Stegostoma tigrinum: one gene and its partner. The protein of the gene in region 1 purifies or fractionates together with the protein of each later gene. This does not show direct contact. Links are inferred from orthologs where the notes say so. Each region holds a gene or a part of one and is shown on either strand. Other genes may lie near its edges.

Evidence for each region.
Region 2: the proteins of rsu1 (region 1) and parvaa purify together in Homo sapiens (affinity purification with mass spectrometry; 3 studies listed by BioGRID and IntAct, counting the BioPlex papers as one, with this or other methods). This does not show direct contact. The link is inferred for Stegostoma tigrinum from reciprocal best matches to the Homo sapiens genes RSU1 and PARVA.

The regions. Positions count from the first base shown.
Region 1 is NC_081355.1:114,645,391-114,649,746, forward strand, and holds the start of rsu1 (ras suppressor protein 1), read right to left. Parts: upstream 3,449-4,356; 5' UTR 3,333-3,448; coding exon 3,315-3,332; intron 1-3,314. UniProt on the Homo sapiens protein: Potentially plays a role in the Ras signal transduction pathway. Capable of suppressing v-Ras transformation in vitro.
Region 2 is NC_081370.1:37,379,943-37,384,298, reverse strand, and holds the start of parvaa (parvin, alpha a), read right to left. Parts: upstream 2,798-4,356; 5' UTR 2,344-2,797; coding exon 2,211-2,343; intron 1-2,210. UniProt on the Homo sapiens protein: Plays a role in sarcomere organization and in smooth muscle cell contraction. Required for normal development of the embryonic cardiovascular system, and for normal septation of the heart outflow tract.

The sequences.
Region 1 (4,356 bases):
ACTGCAGAATTTTGCAGTCCCATTGCTGTGTATGACTTTTTTAGACTGATTTTGACTGCCTTTTACTAACATAACTTTGCATTTATTTCTGACTGTTTCTGCACTCAGAAACATGGGCATTCTGTCTCCTCTGTCCACTGTTCAAGTGTCTTAGCAGCAGATATGGCACTTGCTCTGGGAAATAGATATCAGTATCATTGAAGAGAATGGACAGAGGTTTGTGAAGACACTTTTAAGGATGCATCCCATTAGATATTTTTTCATACACTTAACCTTAGCGGAAATTTGGAGGATCTCTGTGATGAGATGAGAAAGAATGCACTTCATTAAAGAATCAATAGAGAAGACCTGCCATTTATTGCATGAAGACCAGCAGGTACAGTTATTTAGCCAGTCTCTGACTATAATGGTCATGAATGTACTCAATGTTTATTGTCTGATCACAGCCAATCATGGGAATGCTGTGATATCAGCCATGCCATAGTACAGGAATACATTTGTCAAATGATTCACATACTTTAGAAGAGAACTGGGGAATTGACTTTTGGAATAGAGCAAGACAGTAGTAAGTGTGCACTACTTAATTTATTGGCTTTCCTAAATTCCCAAAATCAAATGACGACACCCACATTCTCTCAGCTCCACAGAAAACACATACTTTCCCGAGATTCCCGAAAGTACAGTTTATGTGAAATACAATGCAAAGGATCTTACACATTACTGAGAGATATTTTAGACGACAATATGATGTGTTCAGAATTTGTAGCACTCAGCAACACAATTATTTGCATAAAAAGTAGAATGTACTGGTAATTGTCAAGTGCACTCAATCTAATGATCTGAAACATACATATTATGATTGCACTGAATTAGAAATCAGAAAGAAAGTGCAGTAATCACACCATACAATGGTAATCTTATCTCTGTCACTTCAGCAAGGTCTAATTCCCTGAGCAACATAAATGAGCATAAATTTACAGGTCATCCACTGTACCTTTATCAAGAGATTGAGAGAATCCCATGTTTCTGGTGTTTACATAATTGAATATCAATGGACTACTGTTGAAGCTACATTTCTGTTTTTCAACGTTCATGCACCATCTACTACAGGATCTGTCATACTTGAGCTGTTACTGTTGAAGGATTGATAACAGTGCAGCACAGTGCGTACCAGCAGTCTGAGGCAACAACATACTAAGAATGATTTGGGAGGTTGTAGATAGGAGCGTGGTTATAAGATCCCACTGAAGAGAAGGCTGACAGTGACTGTTTGGTAGTGTAGAATTTAATTGGAGCTCTTGAAAGAGATGTTTGAAAAATAAATGAATGGAGTTGAAAACAGAATGGAGAATGAGTGGAGAAATCAGACATCAAAAGCTCTAAAACAGCCATATGACCCTGTTGTGTTTTGTAGAACACCATAGCCAGGATTTACTGCAAAAGTTGTGGCCTCATCCATTGGCTGAAAATGTCAGGGTGGGCTTATCTTCTCAACTTTGCAAAGCACAAGTCGAATTTACGTAGCTCAGATAAATAGTTTTTACATGTACAGCAACCCCACTCACACTAGCCCACTCCTGAAGTGAGAACCATAAAATTCTAGCCTAAGGTTTTCTACTTAACCATGATTCAGTAGACAAGTCATTGGACTGAGTGTCATCTTACACTAGACTCAATGGCCACCTGGAGAAGTTGGTTTAAAACTTTTTAGGTGGAACATGTTACACAATGGTATTGATGGCATCAGTAAGCGATATCCTATCTCGATCATAAAATACACCCTCGATGTAGGGGATGAAAAGATCTTATACACAAATGACAAACCAAAGGAACAAGCAATAAATAAGACAAAATGGTGACTGCATTTCCCTTTGTGCCATGAACTAGTAATTATGAGTACATATAAGTGTCAGCATTGCTTCTGTTGTAGCATTCTGCATCGTATGTCATGGCCTTATGTCACACTTGAATACATAATCTTGATTGATACTTTAGTATAGTGTGAGCTGCATTGTCTTAGCTTCTGTACTTCAGATAAGATCTTAATCTGAGACTCTGAAAATCCTTTCAGGTAGAAATAAACAATCGCATAACACTGTTTGAAGAAGAACAAGAGTTCCCTAGGTGTTCCAGACAATATTATCTCACAACAACACCACCAAAACAGACTGTCCAGACATTTGGGTAGAGTTGTAGAACGGAGAGACATAGGGGTTCAGGTACATAGTTCTTTGAAATTTGCATCACATGTGGATAGGGTGGTTAAGAAGGCATTTAGCAGTTTGCCTTCATTGCTCAGACCTTTGAGTAGAGGAATTGGGACATAATGTTGAGGTTGTACGGGATGTTGGTGCGGCCTCTTCTGGTGTACTAAGTACAGTTCTGGTCTCCATGTCATTGGAATGATATTATTAACTTGGAGAATGTTCAGAAAATATTTACCAGGATGTTTCCAGGAATGGAGTAGTTGAGACATAAAAATAGACTGGAAAGATTGGGACTTTTTTCATTGAAGTATAGGAGGCTGAGGGGTGACCTTATTGAAGTTTATAAAATCATGAGGGGCATAGATAAGGTGAATGACAAGGATATTCTTTCCCTAGGATGGGGAAATTCTAAACCAGGGGACAGATTTTTAAGCTGAGAGAAGTAAGATATAGAAAGAACACGAGGAGCAATTTTTTAACATAAAATGTGGGTCATACATGGAAATGAACTGCTAGAGGAACAGTTGGATGCAGGTACAGTTGCAGTTAAAAGACATTTGGATAAGTTCATGAATGGGCAAAGTTTGAAGGGAAATGAGCTAAGCGTAGGCAGGTGGAACTAGTTTAATTTCAGAACATGGTCAGTGTGGACTGGTTGGACCAAAGGGTCTGTTTCTGTGCTGGGTGACTCTATGACTCTGTGACTATTTATTCACACTGCAATTTGTGACACCTTGTTACACTTGTCTACATTACAGCACTGGCTACAGTGCGAAAATACTGCACTGGCTGTGGGATGCTTTGCGATAACCTGAAATTATGAAATTTGTTATGCAAGTTCAAGTTTGTTCCTTTTTCAATTCTACTTGTGACTGGTTTATAAGGTATTATTTTAAAAAAATCTTTCGAGAGGTTGATGGTGCATTCTGTATTTTATTTTTGACCTGAAATAGTAACTCAAATGTCAGAGTTCAACTTCAGCACTTTTAACCATTAGTATAAACTGACAAAGGGTGTTTAGCTTACATTATAACCGTGTCTGAAGAGTTTTATGCTGGTTAAATATTGAAATAATACTTGATATTTTAGATAAGAAGTATTGCTTACCTTTCTAGGCGAACACATGTTTGTTTTTTTCACTGTTACGTTTCAGAGACCAAGGTAAGAAAAGGTACAATATCCCAAATCTTCTTGCTGCCTCCCTTCTGCCTCAGCAATAAACAACAGGGCAAATCCTTTCTGTCTGCCAGTGAAACCTCCTTGATATACGAAGGTCAATTTTTTCATGGCTACTGATATTTTGAAGTAGCTCCAATTTTAGCTCTTGGTTATTTTTGGCAGGAACAGATGCAGGATTAGAAATCTTTCAGAAATGAAGCCAATGTTTACAAAGCTTAAGCACAAACATCAGCAAGGACACAGAAATCACGTTTTCTGCAGAAGGAGGAATAGGCAGTTACTTTGATGCAGTGTGGTGGGATTATTGATCAGAATGCTTTGACTAATTCACAGATGTATCTCCTTCTAAGTGTGAAAATATTCCATTCAAAAAGCAGCCTAGCAGTAATGAAATAGTGAACAAATAAACAATCTTGTATTAAAGCAGAGAATGCTGGAAATATCAAGTCAGTTCACTTGTAGATTTTTATAGGGTTTACAATATCTCCAGTCTCTTGCTTTACTTTAAACTTCTTTTTCTCATTCCTACTGACATTTCCAACCATATGTCAGTTCAATACTGTCAATATTCATAGCAGCATCGACACAACATAAGTTTCTGGAATGTTTAATGCTACAGTAATATTGATAATTTTGACTCCAAAACCATTTCAACATTTTTAAATGCAAAAGGGCATAAAAGGGCGTAAGTATGAAGCACATTTTAATTTTAAATTTATTCTAAATTCAAAATGTGAGAAACCTTAAAATAATTGTGCACTTGGTCTGCTCATTTTAACTTTGCAGAGATTGAAAAGTGATGATTATCTCACCAGAATTCATCAAATCCTCAGCGAATCAGAAAATGACAGTCACTCTATTGTATGCTATGAGCTAAGTGGCGAGATGATCACTATTTTGTGCCTGCATTGATATTTCAAAGTTATACTTGCAATGAGTAAGTTGGTATATCACAACTGCAGCAGCAATA
Region 2 (4,356 bases), on another chromosome or scaffold:
CCAGCTCCACACCTTGTTATCGCGGATTCTCCAGCATCTGGAGTTCCTATTATCTCTGAACCATGTTTAATGTTTTTGTGTCCCCAAGCTACTGACCCTCCTACAAGAGGAAATGCACCCTATCAAATTCCTGATTTTGAAAATCTCTACCAAGTCTCCTGTTCACCTACTCTCCAGACCTCTATCTTAAAGATGAAAACAAATATCTCATCACTTGCATTATTTCCATAAAATCTTCTTTGCATCTTCTCAACGGCTTGGACATCATTTTCCAGAACTGGGCACAATACACCAGCTGAGGACAGGGCGTTATATGTCAGTTGGTGATATCTGTCTGAGCCATAAGCTCAGAGTTAACATCCACCATTGACCTTGTTGACCATTGAAACACCATTTGTGACATGGTCATGTAGGTTGGTAATCAAATGTAGGCAGTAAAGAGTGGGTTAGGTTTCTGTTCAGCCATGTTTGATGCAGAGTGGTGACCCCCCAAAATTATAACCACTTACCTCTCTCAAACAATTACGGATTGAGCCCAGGATGGGCCCAAGCAGGGTTTCATAAAGGTCTTGCATAACTTGTGCAGCAGTCAAACAACAACAACAGTATTGTGAGAAACACGCTCTCAGCGCAGCCCAACTATATTTCTACTTGTTGAATTTTTGAGCCGAGGCACGACCGCTTGAAGTGCCAATTAACATACCAGCCGTGTAAACAGTGGGCACAGCAGATCATGCTGTGCACCCTGGTCTGTATGGATTCAGTACAAAGTCAAGTATACCCAAATCCTGAGCAGAAGAGAACTCACACAAAGGTAGAACATGGACAGGAAGACAGACTAATGGAATTGAAGAATTACAGCAAGTACACAGGGCAAAAAGCAGTCATTTGGCTCAAGTTACCACTACTTAACACACAAGTCTTCTCCACTTAAGCATGTGGGATCAGCCATACTCCAATTAGAATCATAGGCTCATACAGCCTTGAAACAGGCCCTTTGGCCCAACTCAGCCATGCTGATGAGGTTTCCTGAATTGAACTAGTCCCATTTGCCCCTGTTTGGCTTGTATGCCTCTAAATCTTTCCTATGCACATAGCTGTTCAAATGTTTTTTGAATGTTCTAATTGTACCCATCTCTACCACTTCCTCTAGCAGCTCATTCCATATATGCACTACCCCCTGTGTGGAAAAAGCTGCCCCCCTGGTCCCTATTAATTTTCCCCCCCTAACCTGGGGATAAAGACCTCGGCTATTCACCTTATCTAGGCCTCTCGTGATTTTATGAACCTCTACAAGGTCACCCCTCAGCCTCTAAGGGTGCTCAGAAAACAGAGCCAGCCTACTCAGCCTCTCCTTGTAAGTCAAACCTTCCGTATCGGTCACATCCTTTTAAAAAAATGCTTGCACCCTTTCCAGCAGGGCGACCAGAACTGTAGGCAGTACTCCAAATGTAGCCCTACCAATGTCTTGTGCAGTTGTAACATGATTTCAACAGCCTTAAAAGGGGTTGAATGGCTTTCCTGTACTGTCTTTTAAATTTCCGACAACAAATGTAGATAGTCAAGATTCAAAATTTAAAAAATACACATTATTCTTTCATTCACGATAACAACAGCTGTGTAATATTGCCAGTGGAAATTCTATTGCTCTAGGGTTTGGTTTTGTTACATGGCGTGGTTTCCCTGCAGACAGGAATCCAGCTTACTCCTGCATACCTGCCCCCTGTAAGGTGCAGATAAGCAGCTCCCGCCTGAGTTGCGGTCTTAACCTTGGTGTTTGATCAATAACTGTGCAATGCACAGAGAGATAACGAGAGGGGGGTGGGTGGTGTTCGGAAAATGCTTTCGAGTTCAACCGCAGAACTTATATTGCCAACCAAATGAGTCTGAACCGGAAAACATTCCACAGGACGCCCAGCTACACCCAGCCCAGAACTTAACTGTGAACTCCACAAAACAAAAATCCACTTTTAGGCTGCAAAACAATGAAGTATTTAATGAAGGGAGTAAATCACTCACATTGCAGCCTTAGAAGCTGTTACGTTAGCCACAAAGCAAAACCAAGTTGAACACTTTCAGCTGAAATTGCAAAAGTTTTCGAAACTTGTTGCAAACTTCTCTTTCAAGTAAATAGGCAACATTTTCAGGACGTTCGTGAACAATTTACATGAAACAAGTTTTTTTTCTAAAAACAAAGAAGAAAGAATTACCTTCTTTGGCCTTTTTTCTTCTGGCTAAAGTTCCTCCAAGTTTACCCAGGAAGGAATCCTCTTTCCTGGAGCCGGGGGATTTCGGGACGGGGGACTTCGGGATGGATGGGGATTTCTGGGGTGAACTGGCCATTTGTCCGGATCAGCGGGGACGAATGTTTGTGCAGACTGATGGGTACGCGCTACACCTTTAGCCGAGAGAGAGGAAAGGGGGGATAAAAAAAACCCTGGACGGAAACAGAATTCTCGGCGAGTCCTGAATTCCAGGGCTATGAGGCAGCGAGAATCTAAACACAACGCTGCAGGGCGAGACTGCGCCTGTGTCTCTCCTACCACTCCCACTGAAATCTCTGCTCTGCGTGAAACTCTCAGCCCAGCTTCTTCTCAGACTGGCCCGAAAGAACAAAAATCAAAAACAAATAGTCATATCATCGCCATTTCTGTCATTACAATTGACACACTCCCCTAACAAAAGTTGCTAAAGCAGATTTTATCTCAAAGCCCTGCATCAACAAAGGGGAGCTTTTATTTTCAAACGAAAATGTGGTAGGCAGCAGCTTCGAAAACCAAAGTGAAGGGGGTTTTGTCATTAGCAACATGTGCTCGGCGAGGCAGCAGTTAGGAAGCCGCAGTATTGTCGCTGGGTTACAGTTTTCATTCACCTAGGGCCAATGTTTACCCCCTCATCAGCGAACATCAAACCATTTCATCTCGGTCACTGGCTGCTGTTTGTGGGAGCCCGCGACGTGACGATAGTTGATTGGTGGGCAAGCATTTGGAAAGAAAGGTTTGGATTTCGAGAGTAACCTTCATAATAGCTCAAAGAGCTTGACAGCTAAAGTTTTGAAGTGTAGACAGTTCAGTGCTCCTTAGTACATTTTCTTAATGCCAATTCCCAGAGGTCAGTTAAGAGTCAACCACATTGGTGTGGGTCTGGAGCCCCATGTAGGTAAAAAGGGGTTTCCTTCCCAAAAAGGAATTAGTGAACCAGATGGGTTTTCCCCCTGCAATCAACAGTAGATTAATTATCCTTTGGGGAAGGATAACCATCAACCAGATGGTTTATTTCACCCCCCACCCCAATAATTGTTTCATGGTCAAAAGACCTTTAATTCTAGCTTTGTTTCAGTTGAATTCAAATTCCACCATCTGCTGTGGCAGAATTTGAAACCAAGTTCCCAGAACATACCTGGCTCACTGGATTAACAGTCCAGCAACAATACTATAAGGCCATCACTTCACCGCATAACTGCACAGTTATATCAGGCTGGTCATTGTGCTGAAGCATCTAGAGTGGGACTTGAATTCATGACATTCTGACTCAGTCAGGACTTGCTGCACCACAGCTAAAACCACACGAGAGATTGTGAAAGCCATAATTTTTTGAGGAAACATCTCAGTAAACCTCAAACAAAAGGATCTCAAATCAGTAAATAAACAGAGGCTGCGATCTGGAGAGAGAGGATGGAATGTGGAACAGGGTCAAGAGAAGAATTAAGACAATAAAACAAAATTTGATGTTGAGCCATGAAGCAGAATCCAGAAACAATATGCTCGATCCGCTGACATGAGGGGGAAGCCCAGAAGGAGGTAGGCAAGGACCAGGGTGTAATCAGAGAGAAAAGGCATCGAGACATTAAACAGGAAGAGCAGGTGTACCAAGCAAAAGACATTAAGGATTAAAAACTGCGTGGAAGATTCAAAAAGGTTTGGAACTTTAAGCTATGGTGAGAAAGATGAACCTGGAATGCAGAGCCTGAAAGTGCAAAGGAGTGACGTTCAAGCAAGGCATTCAAAAGAGCATTAGAAGAATAGAAACAATGTGCAATGTTTTAAAATGGCATTAAGTCACAATGCTGTTTTGGAGAGTTGATGCAGACATAATGGACTGGGCAGTGTCCACGTTCACTGTAGCAATTGTGATTGAAAGCAATGTGAAAGAACAACTTGCATTTGTCACTTTTCACAATTTCCAATGTTCCAAAACACTACCCAACAAGTTAAGTACTTGTCAAGTTTTGAAGAACTACTGAAGCACAGCAGCCATATTGCACAAGCAAGACCCCACACACAAAAATACAGTAATGGCCAGATCATCTGGTTTTAGAAGGTTAGTTGACAACAGCATACTGGGTGGGGGGAAAGA